Cricetulus griseus: one gene and its partner. The main gene of each other region encodes a partner of the protein of the gene in region 2 in a complex. Links are inferred from orthologs where the notes say so. Each region holds a gene or a part of one and is shown on either strand. Other genes may lie near its edges.

What was found.
Region 1: the proteins of Itgam (region 2) and Ptn are in contact, whole or in part, in an NMR structure (PDB 8VOH), measured with the Homo sapiens proteins. The link is inferred for Cricetulus griseus from reciprocal best matches to the Homo sapiens genes ITGAM and PTN. Residues at the interface, in NP_000623.2 of Homo sapiens: Pro273, Asp276, Arg277, Gly279, Val280, Ile281, Arg282, Tyr283, Lys306, Pro307, Arg309, Asp310, His311, Ala334, Ile335, Glu336, Gly337, Thr338, Gln339; in NP_001308315.1 of Homo sapiens: Val56, Pro57, Thr58, Ser59, Asp61, Cys62, Gly63, Leu64, Thr66, Glu68, Thr79, Lys81, Thr82, Gln83, Arg84.

What each region holds. Positions count from the first base shown.
Region 1 is NW_023276806.1:191,418,162-191,427,227, reverse strand, and holds the start of Ptn (pleiotrophin), read right to left. Parts: upstream 5,109-9,066; coding exon 4,994-5,108; intron 3,902-4,993; coding exon 3,728-3,901; intron 1,853-3,727; coding exon 1,691-1,852; intron 1-1,690.
Region 2 is NC_048596.1:72,699,337-72,707,908, forward strand, and holds part of Itgam (integrin alpha-M), read right to left. Parts: intron 3,263-8,572; coding exon 3,122-3,262; intron 3,044-3,121; coding exon 2,831-3,043; intron 1-2,830.

The DNA of each region.
Region 1 (9,066 bases), on a different chromosome or scaffold from region 2:
GGGCGGTGTAACAGAATCTTCTAGGGATCATTCATTGGGTTAGAACTGCCAGGGGGTGATCTGGTGGGTCTGATCAAGTTGGGGCAGTGGGAATTTTCTAGGTTCCTGTGGAAACCCTTGTACACAGCTCAGGCAGAGCTTCTCTGTTCTGTGTAGCATAGGAAACTCCTTGAGTTCTATCCCTTTTCGATTTGCTAGGGATGCTGCAGGTTTGGGTTCAATTACTGCTTTGAAATAAGTCAGTCTGAAGGCTGAATCTCTAAACTCCATTTCTGAAAATGGCTCCTGTTTTTTTTAGCTTGTCTTGTCTAGATAAGTAACACAAAGAAAGTGGGTAGAAACTCCCCTGGAAGGTAGCCAAAGTCTCAGAGTATCTGTGGTCCCACAGTACCCAACTGTCTTGAACTTGGAGGTTCAAGTTTCCATTGCCAACTGCATCAGAAGATGAAAAACTTGACATGTAGAAAGAACACTCTCTGGCAAAGCACCAGCTGTCCTCAGTTTCTGGGGGATTTCTTTTTTCTTATTTTGGCTAATCACCAGCATTTATCTGAATTTCTCTTTACAATGAATCCGGCAGGATAAATTTTCAAGTGTATTTTGAGAGTCAAGTACAAGGAGAGGTCAAGGGGGTATTTTAATTTGGATTTCATTGAAGCTTACAGCATGAATTGTCTGTGGGAGCCACATGAAGTACCATAGCACAGGCAGCTTGGATAATAGGCATGCATTCTCTCACCATTCTGGGGATGGCAAGTCTGAGATCAAAGTGTTGGACTGACCTGATTTCCTGTGGGACTTCTCTCTGTGGCTGGCACCTCTCCTCCACCCCCTGTGTCCTCACACGGCCCTCCCTCTGTGTGTGTCTCTTTGCTAATCTCCTCTTAGAAGAACATCGACCATATCAAATTTGGTCCCATTCCTATGACCTCATTTGAACTCAGTTATCTCTTGAAAGTCCATACTTCTAAGTACAGTCACATTCTGAGATACAGGGTGGGGGATTATGACTTGAAAAATACAGATTTGGAGTAGACAGAATTCAATTTATCTACTTATGAAATGAAACGATTTACCACCTCCTTGGCTTCCTCCAGCTGGCATCCCACCTGCATCAAACTGAGGCTATACGGTCCTGATTTACCAGCATGAATGTGGAGCCTGGCATTCTGGGAACAAGTACTCTGCATAGTTTTAAAATTCTGTGATGAATGGGTACAGAAAGTTGAAATACTTCAAGGTGATAAAGCTACACAGTTATTAAAAGATATATATAAAGCTTATCACCTCTCGTAGAAGAGGAAAGGAATAGATACCATATCTTTCCTGATTCTGTGAAAATCATACTGTAGATAATCTAAGAGAGGTTTGATTTAAAGTTTTATGCATTATGAGTTCTGTTAGTTTATTTATCTTGTCCCAATTTTGAAATTTGAAATAGATGTTATCCTTGTATCAGCCGTCTTAACTGGCATGTTTTGCTGAGGCATTTAGTTGTATTCCTGTTTAGTTCCTAACTCCCAAGGTGTTTGTGTATGCAGAGAACTTCAACTTGAACTCTGAGACTGCCTACGGAAAGTATGTTATTGTGTTCACAAATGGGCAGTTTTCAATCGCTTCTCTCCTAGAATTTTTGGGTTTCGCCTGAGTCTCCTAGTCTATTAAAGCTGACAGAGTGACAGTTTCTTACCTTGAGGCTTGGGCTTGGTGAGTTTGCCACAGGGCTTGGAGATGGTGACTGTCTTCTGGCAGTCAGCATTGTGAAGAGCTCGTTTCAGACTTCCAGTCCTGGTCTTCAAGGCAGTATTCAGGTCACATTCTCCCCAAGCCTGGAACTGGTATTTGCACTCAGCTAAAAAGCATAACAAATTGGAAGAACAATGCTTATGAGAGCTTATTGTAGTGATAATAAGGGCACAATTTTGATGTTACATTTTTGTATTTAAGCCATCACATATTCCTATGCAGTTATAAGAATAACACGGGGGCATTCCATACATGCTTCCCCCAATTTCCCCAATTTTGGCATCTTGAACAACTGTGGGCCTATCTTATAAAATGGAAATTATGAATTCCAAGAGTGGAGTCAGATTTCAGTTTTATATGCATGAACGCATATAGTTCTGTGTATATGCATGGACATGTATAGTTCTAGCCATGTGAATGCATGTAATCAGCACCATTAATGTACATATCATCCCAATGCCAGGGTCCCATTGTCACCTTACATACAGTCACAGCCTTCCTACCTCTTAAGTTACCTACAACCACAAATCTTCTTCAGCTCAATTCATTCTATAAATGAGATTTTAAACTATGTAAACTTTTGTGATTGGCTACTCTCGTGCCCACAGAAATTAGGAGATGGTGTATGATCCTCTTGAACTGGAATGATGGGTGTGAGGAACCTAACCCAGGTCCACTGCACGAAAAGCAGGTGTTCCTAACAACTGAGCCATCTCTATGGCTCTGAGACTGGCTACTTCCTTACTTACCATAAATTTGTGACTATCAACTCACGTTGTGTAAATCAATATTGTATGTTTTTGTACAACTGAGTAACCATCCACGATATAGATATCCCAAACTTTATTTATCCATCGCCAACTAAAAGATGCCTGTATTGCTTTATTTTGGCTAATTTATATACATACAAATGCAAATTCTATTTATTCATATAAGGTGTTCTGTGAAAACATTTTATTTTCTCTGGAAGAAAAACGCCCAAGAAACTGCTGAGTTACATGGTAAGGTCAACTCATGTTTAATTTCATACAAACATAAAACAAGCAACCTCTCCAAAAAGTAGTATCTTTTTTAGTATTGCTGTGCCATTTTCTATTTCTACTGACAGTAACTACATAACCTAGTGTCTCTGCATCTTCACTGCCAGGGGTATCATAATGTTTTTATTCCAGGCATTCTGATGGGTACATAGCAACATGTCACCAGGGTTTCAATCTCTCTTCCCTTAATGGGACAGAGAAATTGAGTATCTTTCCAGGTGTCTATTTATTATTATCTATTCTCCTCATAAATTATGTCTGTTGGTATTTATTCACTATCTTCCTGGATTGTTAGGGTTGTATGTTTGCTTGTTTGTTTTGATTCTATATTGATTCTTGAGATTTTTATACATGTTCATGACAGGAGTCCTTTAAGAAACTTTTGTTTTTTTGGTTTTTCGAGACAAGGTTTCTCTGTGTAGCTTTGGAGCCTATCCTGGCACTCACTCTGGAGACCAGGCTGGCCTCAAACTCACAGCGATCAGTCTGCCTCTACCTCCCATGTGCTGGGATCAAAGGCTTGTGCCACCAATGCCCTGCCTCACAAACTTTTTTTAAGTGAGTCTTAACCATACCCCATACTATTTAAAGTCTAATTTATATGACTCTGTTGTCATTTTGGCTATCAAATGACATTTTCTCAGTTTTCCTGGCTGGTAGAGTAGGTTGTATTAAAATATGGTTGAAAATATAATGGTAGATGACAAGGATGTTACTAATTACCCTAAAATGTACAAGACAAAAACAACAAAAATCCAGCCCCTGATATCACTAGTGCTGAATCTAAGAGGAAAGCTGGCTGGTCACCGTGTGTCTAAGAAAATATATTTATTTAATTTAATATAAACATGAGTTGGCTTTGAAAATGAATTTGATAGAATTGTTCCAAAAGTATTTCAGAATAGTAGATTAAAGCAATAAGAACACAGGGTGAGACTGACCTCCAAACTGCTTCTTCCAGTTGCAAGGGATCTTACATCTCTGGGTCTTCATGGTTTGCTTGCACTCAGCACCAGTGCGAGTGCCCTCCCGGGTGCCCAGTCCACAGTCCCCGCTGGTGGGCACACACACACTCCACTGCCATTCTCCACAGTCAGATTTTTTCACCTTTTTTTCTGCAAGGGAGGAAACAAAAAGCAACCACCGTCCAGAAATGTACTGAACTCTTGAATATGGCTAAGTTCACACCTCAGAACCTCGATTGTGGAGTCTATGACTTTTATCTCTATCTGTATTGTCCAGGAAGACAGTGGGATGTCTTCTCAATGATCCAGTCAATGCATGGTTAAGAGGAGAAAGAAAGAAAACATGGGGGCAGAGACGGAACTAATACTACTAAGTCATGTGTGTGATAGAGACTGTTCTACGTGAATCACTAATATTTCCTTTTAGAAAGATGTTTCTGAATGAAGGCGTTGTCCCTCTGCCTGCTCCCTGACCACCACAATATGAGCTATTCTGCCACGCGTGCCTGCAGTGACGGGCCCACACCTCTGAAACCCTAAGTGAAATAAAGCCATCTTCCTCTTAAATTCACTCCTCAAGTGTCTGAATGCAGCAACAAACAGCTAACACACTTGTGCCAGATGAAATTTGAAGATTTGTGTATCTTTGATGAAACATTTGAGAGTGTAAAATTTTACAAAAAGAAGGAAATATTTTTCATTTTTATTTTGTTTTGTTTTGTTGTTGTTGTTTGAGATGGGGTTTCTCTGTATTGCTTTGGAGACTCTTCTGGAACTCACTCTGTAAATCAAGCTGGACTCACAGAGATTCACCCGCCTCTGCCTCCTGAGTGCTGGGATTAAAGGCGTGTGCCACCAATGCCTGGCTAAGAAGGAAATATTTCTGTCAAAATAAAAAATTCTAAGTAGTTTATAAAAAGCTTGAAAAATGAGGAGGGAATGTCTATTAGAAGTAGTAGTGGTCAGACTAAAAATTTCATTGAAAATTGATGGTGTGGTTCTGTTCTGTGGGTAAAAAGGCATAATAGAAATGTGTATAGGACACAGACTAAAAGAGACCCCCAACACCACAGCCCACTCATGACTATCCAAGGGCATGTTCATTCGGGAGCAAAATGGGGCAATTTAGGGTTTCCCTAAATAATTGAAAGGATGTTAGAAACTGTGGGAGAACTATAAGCAGGTAGCTGGGCTGCCTGGGTACCATCCAAGGAAACATCTCTCTGTGACTCCACTGCTTACCGGGTTTCTCTTTCTTCCCAGCCTCAGCAGTGTCCACAGCTGCCAAGATGAAAATGAATGCCAAGAAAGCAGCTGCAAATTTTCGACGTTGCTGCTGGTACTGTTGGGATGACATTTCTGGAAATGAAGAGAACAAGAAGAAGGTGATTTCAACCTAAGTCAGGATGAAGATTCAACTCTCTGATGAAGCATGCTATGTGAAGCTTCTGGAACACTGGGTTTTAGGAAAACTGTATTGATTATTACAAAGTGTAATTTTATCCTTTCTCACCAACAGCTGCAAAAGCAGTAAATCACGTGGTCATGGGCAGAATTTAATCATTCTTCGTATCAGATTTCACAGCCATTTGTTATGTGTGACTCTGGGGTTGTGAAAGCAAGAGAACCACGTGGCATGATTTTGAGCAGATTCCTACAATCAATCCTGTTGCTTGCATCACTTGCTAATAACAACTACAGTCATCTTCAGGATGCCTGGAAGTTCCTAGAAACATTCATGGTGTTGCAGTCACAGTAATCTTCGGTACAGCCGTGACAAATGATAGTGTACAGTAGCTTGTGTGTACTGACTGTGTTTTTTATATTTAGGCATATCTACCAATGAGCAGCATTTCTGATTCTTATTTACCCATGTTCATTTTAAACATAGTATCATCCCATTGCTCATTAGAGTGAAACACAGAAATATAGAGCTGGCATGCTATAACACTAAGAATTCATAAATGGATTTTACTCAAGAACCACTAAATCCTCAGATCTGGAGAGCAGTGACTATACATGCTCAGAAATTGAAATACTGCTCATCTCACATAAGTCAAAATCCCTAGAAAACCCTAGGAAGATCCCTGTTATACTCAAAGATGCTGTGATAACCCTCCATCAAGATATTCACCTTGCCTAAGCTGCTCTGAAAAAGCCACTGATTGCAGAAACGTGGTTGATGGTCATTTACCTCCATCTGCTGTGTTAATGGTGTTGTATAGATCACACAAAAGTGTGCAAATAATCTTTGGTTATTATTAGTGTGAGCTGTATTCCTTTTTTCCAAAACTTGCAATAGATTAGCTTTTAATGATTTTACAATTTCTTTAGTAAATAATGAGACTACTCCTGTGTGTGTACTCATGTGTGCCTGGGGGTATAATATGTGTGTGTGAGTATGCACATGTATGTGCATGGGTATGCACATGTGTGTGCTGTGCTCCCTCTATTATGCATCTTGTTTTCCTAATTCATAAGTATCTAAAATATGATACCATGGTTACTAACTAATCTTGTATCAACTTCCACAATGTTAGAATTGTCACTTATTGGAGTTGTGTTTTGTTTTTCTATCAATGACTGGATTCTATAGTATGATTAAACATATTTTACCAACAAACTAAAATTAACATTTTTACCACTTTGCCCTTTAAAACATGAACCCTGCTTAATCAACACCAGTTCCATCCCCGGCAACAGTCCAGTATTAGAAGCTTTGCTCTCCCTAAAGCTGCATTCTTAGGACAGTCTCACTGAATTGCTCCATGCAAATCAGGTAGGTGACTCCTCCTCATCTTGTGATTAGAGGTAGGAAGCCAGCCTGGACTCGATGACTTGCAAGCTTGTCAGAGTTCCCAGAGATGAGCCCCCTGTGCACCTCTGGGATATACTTTTTCCGGGGACATTCAAACACCATTTTAAACGATTGGGCACAAAGTGAACCAGAGCCCTTGCTTCCCCCAATGGCTGCCTAAGCACCTTCTTTCAGTACCTACGAATTGTGGTGACACTTCTGAAAATTCATAAAAGGCAAATTATCTCCTTTACTCGGGACTTTTCAGTTTTGATTTCAACTTAGATTTCATTTTCATGTGTAAAAATTACCTGTAAATTGCCTTACCTATACTGTTATGACATATATTATTGTGAGAATCTAAACATTCCAGATGAGAAAGCACAACTCTAAAGAAAATTTTCTGACCTAGCAATGGGGTGATGACCTCCCTGGTCTTAATAAATGCAGCCCACGAAGAGGTCAGAAGTCATTCTCATTCTCGGTAAGCCAGTTTCTTAATATCTCGGGTTTTTATGGGTGTATAAAAAGGGTAAAGGCTTTTAAAAAAAGGAAAAAGATAACTGGAATGATTAAAATTATCCAAGTACACCAAACAGTATTTAATAACATTTGAGAGCTCCAAACAACACTCAGTTAGCCTTCTGGCACGGTACCTCCCTGATCCAATAAATCTGTGAGTAATTAGTGTATGAGCAGATAGCAGGAGCATGTGGCATCTGCATAGCTGACTTATTCATCCTCAGCATCAAATAAGAGCAAAAGCTTTCCCTGCATATACTTTAACTTCACTTGTTCTCCAACATGCTGGGTACCAGATGAACATAGAAGTAAGAACAAGGCCCCCTCAGACACACATAGCAATTAGGGAAGTGGCTAATTATTTTTCACACCAAGAACAAGAAACAATGGCAGAATAAAACTTACTAAATTGGCTGAGTCCTTTTGAGAAGCCTCTTTATTTCTTACCACCTTCTGCCATCTTTGCTATATTTGACCTGCCAGACATAATTCACTGGGTTTGACAAGCTGGAGGCTACCATAAATGGATGCTGGGATGTAGTATTACTGTTGTGTTATCCCAGTGAAGCCTGAAACTCAACAAATGAAGGAATTAACTGGAGGATAGCATTCACATGTTGTATTTCCTCCTCTGAGACAGGGCTGATTAGGATGTGCAGGGAACTTCTCCTTCCTACAGCATTATAGTGGGGTCTAAGAGTTTAAAAAGGGCAACATCAGCAGTAAATGTGGACAAGGATACAGGTCCCTGTGTGCCCTGTTTGGAAAGACTAATGTAGTGTTTGGAGGCAGAAATTTTTATTCAAATGTTAATTCTACCACTCATTTTTTTCTGTCTTTGAACAAAATCAGAACATCACAACTAATTGAACTGGTTTTGATATCAAAAAAGTGGGAGTAAGTTATAGGACTGGTGATGAAACAACTGCTGGAAATGCTTCTCATAAAAGCTACAGGATACAGGCACAGAGATAATATGGAATATTAGAAATTACATTTTCAGCTTGACCTACCTATATAGCTATGTGGTTTGCATATAAAGTGTCCTTAGTGAATTAGAAGCTTGGTCTCCAAATCTAGCAAGTAGGGCTTTGTGGAAGTGAGTGGACTGTTAGAAGGACTCTGACTTTATCAGTGATTTAATCCATAGATAAATTAAAATTTTGAATAGAGTATTAAAATACAGTAGAACTGTACAAGGTGGAGCCTTTTTGAGGCATTAGGTCACTGGGAGCATGTCTTTGAAGGCCATATCTTACCCCACCCCCCCTTTTTTTTTACTTCTCTCTGCCTCCCCACCTCTATGAGATGAACAGACATGCACCTACAAGATCCTGTGTCACCTTGGCCCTAAAACAATGGAATCAGCCAACATAGACTAAAATATTTGACACTGTGAGCCAATAGAAATACTTCCTTCTTTAAACTATTTTGACTGTTTTCCACTGTGTTGAAAAGTCTGACTAATACAAAATGTTCTTTTTTATCAAAAAATAATAAATATCAAATTTGGCATTTTGTATTATATCAAAGCAAAACCAAACAAAATGTCACCAGACAGAAAAATGATTTAATTAAAATCTGCTAAAGGTTCCTTCAGGTTTCACAGGACACAAACTCATTCTGCCTTTGCTTTTTGGAAGCATAAAACAAATTCAAGAAACAATTTGAAGTATATCCTTTGAGTTCAGAGCCCATTGTTGAAAATTAGTGACTATGTCAATGCAATTCAACTTTTATGAAGTCAGGAAAATCACCTCAGTTTACAATTACATTCTACATCCTTCCACGTTTATTTGAAGTAGATAAGACAAAGAGAGCCCCAGTGCTTAGAAGTAGCTTCTAAAACTTCGGTCTTGAAAAAGGTCACAGAAATACAACAAAACCAAAGGATGAATTTTTAAACTAAAATAATATCTTAGCTCTTTGGGCCACAGGATATATAGTATGTTGACACTGGGGTGGAAATAGCCATTAGTCTCTCCAGTATGTAAAA
Region 2 (8,572 bases):
GACCCAGAAATCCCACGTCTCTGTTTCATTCAAAAGAATCAGCATGAGAATATTGAGAGACTATTGGCACGCCCACACCATTCACAAAAGTCAAGTTCGGGAATAACCTGCATGCACTGTGGCTGACAACCAGTCATCCAGCAATGACATTCATCTGTAGTGGAATACACTTTATCCCTTATATGAAAGGAAAATCTGTCATTTGTGCCAATAGGAATGAACATAGAAGACAGTATTCTATGTAAAATAAAACAGACACAAAAGGCCAAATCATTCCATTACATGAGTTGTCTAAAAGAACCAAATCATACAAGCAACATGGAGGACTGCCAACCACTGCCTAGAAGCAGGTGGGAGCCAGACAAGTGCAGGAGGGTACATTTCAAGTCTGTTAAGAGGCAAGGCCAAGTATTTGAGCATTTTTACCACAATACACTTTTTTAAAGAAATAAAGGAAAATGTAAGACTGGAAAAGACTAGAGACCAGAGACCAAGAGACCACACTGCCTGAGCTCACTGGGAGAGAACACAGCATGGGTGAGGCAGGCCAAACTGCAAGGGAGTTCCCCACAAGCAGGGAATTCATGCAGCAGTGACAGTCACTGAGGAGGGAACCAGCTCTTCATCCAGGATTCAGGGTGACCCATCACCAATGTGAGATACTTAACTTTAAGACACAGAACAAGAGAAAGATGCTGGATTCAGTTATTCAAAGACTATCATTGGTCAAGCCTGGTGGCTCTCAACTGTCATCCCCACACCCACAGGCTTTGAGGCAGGAGAGTCCCCAGCCCAGGCTACATAGTGAGACACTTAATTTCTACTAAGAATTGCAGTACAGGACTTGGGAGACAGACAGCCCAGGGGCTAAAGTGCTTGCTGCACAAGTGTGAGGACCTGATTTCAGATCCAAGCACTCACACCAAGGCTCAACATGGTGCTACACATCTGTAAAGACAGTGCTGGGGATGGAGACAGATGGATTCTGGGACTGGACCAGCATCTCCAGGTTCAGTGAGAGTCCCTGAAGATGAGATGGGGGACCAGTGAGAAAGACAGAGGTCCTTGCTGACAAGCTGATGACCTGAGTTCAATCTCCAGGATCCACTCACTGTTCCTCAGCTTCCACATGCAATTTAAAAACGTAATTTATACCACCACAACCCACACACACACACACACACTAAGGCTCCAGAAATATTAGGGAATAGGGGTTGGAAAGAATATAAGCACAAGATAATAAAAAGAAAAACTATGAAATGCCATCTCTGGGTACAATTCAGCCATTCCAATAATGAACTCAATGCAAACGCACTGGCCCACACTGAGCCCAAACACAAATGGGCCTGTCAACAGCCAATCACCAATGGAGAAGGGGCTTGAGAGGGCCTGCCATGCCCCCTACTGAACAAGTAGGCACTGATGGAGTCTGGGAAATAAGGAGTTACAACCATCAGTTGAGCCTGGTGAGCCCAACCAGGCTCCATTGGAGGGCTCCAAACTGGTTAACCTTAGTGAGTCTCAAATAAAAAAAAAAAGTCAGTATGACTATGTAGGGAGGAAAGAGAGCTAGGGGGAGACAAGGAAAGATGGAGGTGGGAGTTCAGATGTATGTGTGCATGAAAAGGTCAAAGAATTTAATTTGGAGGCTCAGTACTTAATTGCACTTACTGCTCTTGCAGAGGACCTGGGGTTGATTCCTGGCACCCACATCAGGCAGCTCACAGCTGCTTGTGACTCCAGCTCCAGGGATCCACTGCCCTCTGACCCCTAGAGGCACCTGCAGGCATGTGGTGCCCATAAACTCAGGCAGCCATACACACACATAAGTAAAAATAATAAATCTTGAAAACAAAATTTAATTTTAAAAACATCAAAAATATAAAGAAAGGGGCTGGGCATGGATGGTAGTGCATGCTTTCAATCTCAGAACTTTGGAGGCAGAAGCAGGTGCACCTCTATGAGTTCAAGGCTAGCTTGCTTTGCATAATGCGTTCAGACCAGTCAAGCGAGACCCTGTCTCAAAAAAAAAAGGGGGAGGAGGGGCGTGAATAAGGTGGAGAAGTGGTTGAAAAGTGTTGTGGAATTTTCCTTTACACTGCTAGGCAGGGTTTGGGGGGCAGAGGAACACTGGGAAGAAGGGCAGAGTCAGGAGGAGACACACATGCTTGCAACACACACAAACTTACTATAGCAACAGCAGAATTTTAAGCCAAACTCGGGAGTCTTTTTTTTTTTTTTTTTTTTTTTTTTGGTTTTTTGAAAAAGGTTTTTTTTGTGTAGCTTTGGAGCCTTTCCTGGCACTCGCTCTAGAGACCAGGCTGGCCTTGAACTCACAGAGATCCATCTGCCTCTGCCTCCCGAGTGCTGGGATTAAAGTGTCCAACTGTATGGGTTTCCTATGACATAGGAACATATGGGGTAAAGATAACATAAAACTGGGACAGAATGGGAAAGAACAGAACTCTTGTTCCCTCAGCCAGAATGGGGATCCCAGAGGAAGGGACTAAACAAGGTACAGCATTGTCATACATCTCTCCATCTGGCCTAACTGCAGGTCCACAGCCAGTGCCAAACACTTGACATCCTCACGCATGTAGCTTGCCATCTACAGTCCCAGGCCTCAGCCATAAAGTCCAGTGTGGATACCCAAAGCACCACCTACCATTACAGAGAGTTCGTCTACACTGGAGATTCCCTGAGGCAGCTATGAAGAGTGTTATTGTCTTAAAGGTACTGGAAGGAGTGCAGGAAAACTGATCCATCAGTTAAATCGGAGGGTCCACATCACACAAGTCGGTGCTGTACACAGTCAGTGGTAGGGACTTACCTGGCTGTGAAGGGCGCTGATGCTGACTGCCGATGCCCCATGAAAAATGTAGACAGCACCCTGATTCTCCTGCTCGCCTGGGGCCCCGATGGCCACATCTGTCAGCTTGTCCCCATTCACATCTCCCAGCACTGTCAGAGCTGCCCCAAAGCGACCCCAGGGATGGCCCTGCTCACCGTGGAGAATGGCCTCACACCGCCACTGTGCCCTCTGCTAAACAGAAACAGTGACAGACCCAAAACCCTGGCAACCCTCCACCTCACACCCAGACCCACCCGGCCCAACACTCACCCCCCTAGGCAAGGGACACACTGACACCTGGCCTCCTCGAGTCTGGGCATAGTAATGAGGGGCTCCAATGAGGATCAAGTTGGTGTTGCCATCACCATTCATGTCCACGGAACAGAGGGAGGCCCCAAAGTAGGAGCCAATCTGAAAGAGATTGGGTAAAGATAACTTACCTCTTCCCACCTAAGAAGAATCCAGGAGTTTCCTGTCTGTGAAGAAGCCAGACATAGTGGTGCATACCAGAACCTAGAAGGCAGAAGCAGGAGGATCAGGAGTTCAAGGCTGCATAGGGAGAGGGCATAAAATTTGTCTGAAAGAAGAGAGAAGAAAATGAGACCACGATTACTGGGGAAAATTGTTTGTAGAACATACAATTTCCTATATGTTTGTGGTGATTTGAATAAGAATGATCCCCATAGGCTAGAATATTTGAATACATAGTCACCAGGGAATGGAACTCTCTGATAGGATTAGAAGGATTAGGAGAAATGGCCTTGTTTAGAGGAAGTGTGCCACTGGGGGTGGATTTTCCGGTTTTCTTTTCTTATTTTCTTTTTGGTTTTCTGTGTTGTTATTATTTTCAAGGAAGGGTTTCTCTATGTTAATAGCCCTGGCTGTCCTGGAACTTGCTTTGTAGACCAGGTTGGTCTTAAACTTACAGGGATTCGCCTACCTCCGCCTCCCCAGTGCTGGGATTAAAGGTGTGCACCACCACCTGGAGGGTTTTGAGGTTTTCTTTTTTTCTTTTTTTTTTTCTTTTCTTTTTTTTTTCTTTTGGTTTTTCGAGACAGGGTTTCTCTGGGTAGCTTTGGAGCTTATCCTGGCACTCGCTCTAAAGACCAGGCTGGCCTCCAACCTACAGAGATCTGCCTGCCTCTGCCCCCCCCCCCCAGTGCTGGGATTAAAGGCGTGCGCCACCAACTCCCGGCTTCTTTTTTTTCTTTTTTTTTTTTTCCTTTTCTTTTTAGATTTATTTATTATGAATGCAGTGTTCTGCCTGCAAGTATGCCTAAACACCAGAAGAGGGCACCAGTCTCATTATAGATGGTTGTGAGTCACCATGTTATTGCTGAGAATTGAACTCAGGACCTCTGGAAGAATAGCCAGTGCTCTGAAACTCTGGATCATCTCTCCAGTCCTGAGGTTTTCAAAAGCCCAGTGTTTCTTTCTTTCCCCCTTTCTCTCAGTCAATAGATCAGGATGAGGCTTTCAGCTACTGCTCCAGAGATGTGAGTGCCACCATGCCCACCATGATGATATGAACTAAACCTCTAAAATTGTAAGCAAGCTCCCAACTAAAGAGCTTGCCTTGGTCGTGGTGTCTCTTCACAGCAACAGAACAGTGACTAAAACATGATTCATGATACATTTTAAGAAAATGCAGGTGCGTGCAAGAGCATGCGAGAGAGATGAGGGGGGGATAGTAAGGATGAAATCCAGGAATTCAGACAAGCTATGCAACTGGTCTACCATTGAACTATACCCCCAGCCCGGTCAATTGAATATGCTGCTAGCTAGAGGAATTTATCATAAAGTCGGTGGACAGTAGATTCAGATTTATCCCAAATGGCATTTCAGGTAAATTACTAAGGCAGCAAAGGAGATGTTACATAGGAGAACACAATTATAGTATCTAGAAGAGCAGACACCACACCTTTTAGATTAGAATTCTTTGTAAGGGCAAAGGATAAAGTCTGATTTGGCCGTAATCGATCTGACTGTACTAAAATCGCGATTATTAGGCTGGAGGTATAGCCCAGTGGTAAACTACGTGGCCTGTATTCTTAAAGCACTGAGTAGTTCAGTCCCTAGAACTGAAAAACTTGCTACCCAGAAGGTTTTGTGTTAAGTAAAATGTCTTTTTAATATGCTCAAGGTAAACATGCACCATTTATCTGTAGAACTCAGCCACTTATTATCCACTTATTCATTCAACAAACACTTGTTCTCTGAGCACTAGACTGGGTAGCAGACACAGTGCCTTCAAGGACTCTCAGCATAGCAGTGTGGAGAGAAGAAGAGCAAAGGAACAGTTAAACGGGATATATTACAGGTTTCAAGCTAGAAGTCCCAGGCAGGAAAAGCACAGAGGACTCTCGACAACACGATTTCTGCCCCCCCCCACACACACACACACACACCATTGCAGGAGACTCACCGACCACCAAATAAAGTAACTGGAGCTTGGCCTGAAGTCAATGGCATTTTTTAGGTCAGGTTTACTGAGGCAAATTTTGTATAAAATAAAATTCAACTGTTTTAGTATATAGCTTTAGAGTTTTGACAAACATCCAGTCACATAATCATGGCCACCATCAGGATATGGAACTCACAGTTGGCTTCTTCCCTGTTAGCAATCCCCAGAAACCACTGAGGTGTTTTCTGTCCCTGTATGACAGTTGTTCTTTTCTAGATTGCCTTAAGAATGGCTTACATGGTGTATAGACTTTTTTAGACTTTGTCTTTCACCTGGAATAATTCACCTGAAATCTATCCATATCATTTGCATACATTAGTAACACACCGTTCTATTGCTGATGAGCACTCCGCTGCATGGGTGTGCCACAGTTTGCTATTCCATCCTCCGGCTCAGGGTGTCCAGATTGCCTCCAATTTGTCATTATTAGTAACAGAGCAATGGCAGGCATTTGCACATAGAATTCTATGTGAATATCTGTCTCCTTTTCTCCTCAGTGATGCTGAGTTGCACTGCTAGTGTGGTGAGTGGGTGTTAAATCTCACAAGAAGTTGCCTTTTCTTTGGATCTGGCTCACATGACATGAGATGAGACGGTTTGTTTTAGATTGTCAGCTCCACTGTCCCTGTTGGAAACCCTCTCCATTACATCTTTTGCACTTTTGTTGAATATTACTTCATCAATTACGACAATAACAACATAAAAAGTGGCGGAAGAAGCTGTTAATGAGCAGTTTATTTTAATGTGCATGAAACTGTTATTTGTTAAAAATAGGCAATTATAACTGTCAGATGCTTTATGTAAGCCTCCTATGCACAGAGAAAAATCTGAAGCAGAAACACAAAGAAGAAAGAAATCAAAATATATAACTATAAAAAAATTCATCAAGGCCAAACAAGACAATAAGAGACAGAATGGAGCAAAGAAACTACAAAGCAGAAAACTGAACAAACCCAGGAGTGTCCACCAACAATCGTGCTAAATACAAGTAAATTACCCTTTTCAACCAAAACATGGAATTCCCAATGGGCTTGGAGTTTTTTCGTTTTGTTTTGCTTTTTCAATTATTTGATTTTATGTATATGGGTGTTTTGTCTTCATGTGTCTGTGTACTATATGTGTGTCTGGTGCTTATGGAGGCCAGAAGAGAACATTAGGCCCCCCAGGAACTGGAGTCACAGATGGTTATGAGCCCGGTGTGGATGATGGGAGTCAAACCTAGGTCCTCTGCCAGAGCAATGAATATCCTCAACTGATAAATCAACTCAACAAGACTGATTGAATGGGTTTTTAAAATCCAATTACTGGCTACCTAAATTAGACCTTTAGGTGCAGATTTATGGACATAGCTTGAAAGTAAAGGAAGAAGAAAAAGAAAAGTTACTCCAAGCAAATGATGACCACGAAAGAGAAGGATGCCAAGACTCCTGTCAGACTAGATGGGCCTCACTCATGTCAGCCTGCCTTGGGACAGAAGCATGGTGACAGAGAAGACAGTTCATCAAGAGACTTCTGTGCAGCAGAACTGGAACAGTCTAAAACTCCGGAATAAGAGTGAATCAGTTAAAAAAAAAAAAAGAAAGAAAGAAAGAAAGAAAAAGAAAAAGACTTCCAACAAAGAGAAACCTGTGGCTCATTGCTCCACCCCACAAAGCTAAAGAGCATCAGTTGTTGGAGATGAAGGTAACAGGCTCCTAAAGCCCAGGCTGGCCTTGAACTCCTAAGCCTCTACCTCTAAATGACTGGGATTGCAAGTGTCTCAAGCTTGAAAGAGAGGGAAAAGTTCCAAAGTCATTTCATAAAGTCAGAATTACACTAATACTAAAGCCAGACAAGCACACAACAAAAAGAAAATACAGACAGACACCTCTTGTGAATATAGCTACAAAAAAAAAATTCTGAATAAAGTGTTAACAGAATGAACCCAACAGCACATTTTCAAATGATACCCTTAGTCTGGTGGCATAGATGAGAGGTAGTGTGTATTTGCCTAGCACTCATGAAGCTACCCAATACTGCAAAGGGGGGGGGGGATGAAGAATAAGGAGAAGAGGAGGGAAGGAAGAAGGCAAGGAGGTGGGAGAAACTATTACCAACAAAGCTGATATATCACATCAATAAACTAAACAGGAAAAGTTGTGTGATCATTTCAGGGCATGCAAGAAAACCATCTTATAAGATTCAACATTTCTTCATAATAAAAATCCTAAATAAATTCTAATAAATTAGTAAAAGAATGTACGTTGGCGGGCACCTTTAATCCTAGCACTTAGAAGACAGAGGCAGGTGGATCTTTGAGTTCAAGGCCAGCCTGGTCAACAGAGCTAGCACACACACACACACACACACACACACACACACACACACACACACACCCCAGAATCTATGACAAACCAAAAACAAGCACCATCCCAAATGATAAGAAATTGAAACTATTTCCTGTTAAGATCTGAACAACACTGTTGCTCAACACAGTATAAAAAGCCCTAGCCGGGTGTTGGTGGCGCATGCCTTTAATCCCAGCACTCGGGAGGTAGAGGCAGGCAGATATCTGTGAGTTTGAGACCAGCCTAGTCTACAAGAGCTAGTTCCAGGACAGCCTCCAAAGCCACAGAGAAATCCTGTCTCAAAAAACCAAAAAAAAAAAAAAAAGAAAGAAAGAAAAGAAGAAGAAGCCCTAGGCAAGGAAATTAAGCAAGAGACAGAAACGAGGGCAGCTAGACAGGACAGGAGGAAGCAAAACTCACAGACATCATTCTAGACTCTACCATAAATACTGTCAGAGCACATAATTTGTAAAGTTAAAGGACACAGAATCAACATACAAAAGCAGTAGCATTCTAGGTACCAATAGCGAACCATCTGAAAATGATTGTGAAGAAATTAATACCATTTACAACAGCTATCAAAAAGTGACAAAGGTCTGTTGCTCTTCTAGAGGACCTGAGTTCAGTTCCCATCACCCTTGCAGGACAGTTCACAACCACCTGTAACGCTAGCTCCAGAGTCTCTCCTAGAGTCCATGGTCTCCAAATGGCAACCTGAACACATTTATACAAACACACACATTTAATAAAAAATTAACAAAAGACCTGCAGATACAACTCAAAAGATAAAGTACTAGCTTAGCATGGAGAAAACCCAGTGTGACATAAGTGGGGTGTTGGTACATGCCTATAATCTCAGCACTTGAGAGACACAGAGGATGAGAAGTTTCAGGTCATTCTCAGCTACATAGAAAGCACAAAGCCAACCTG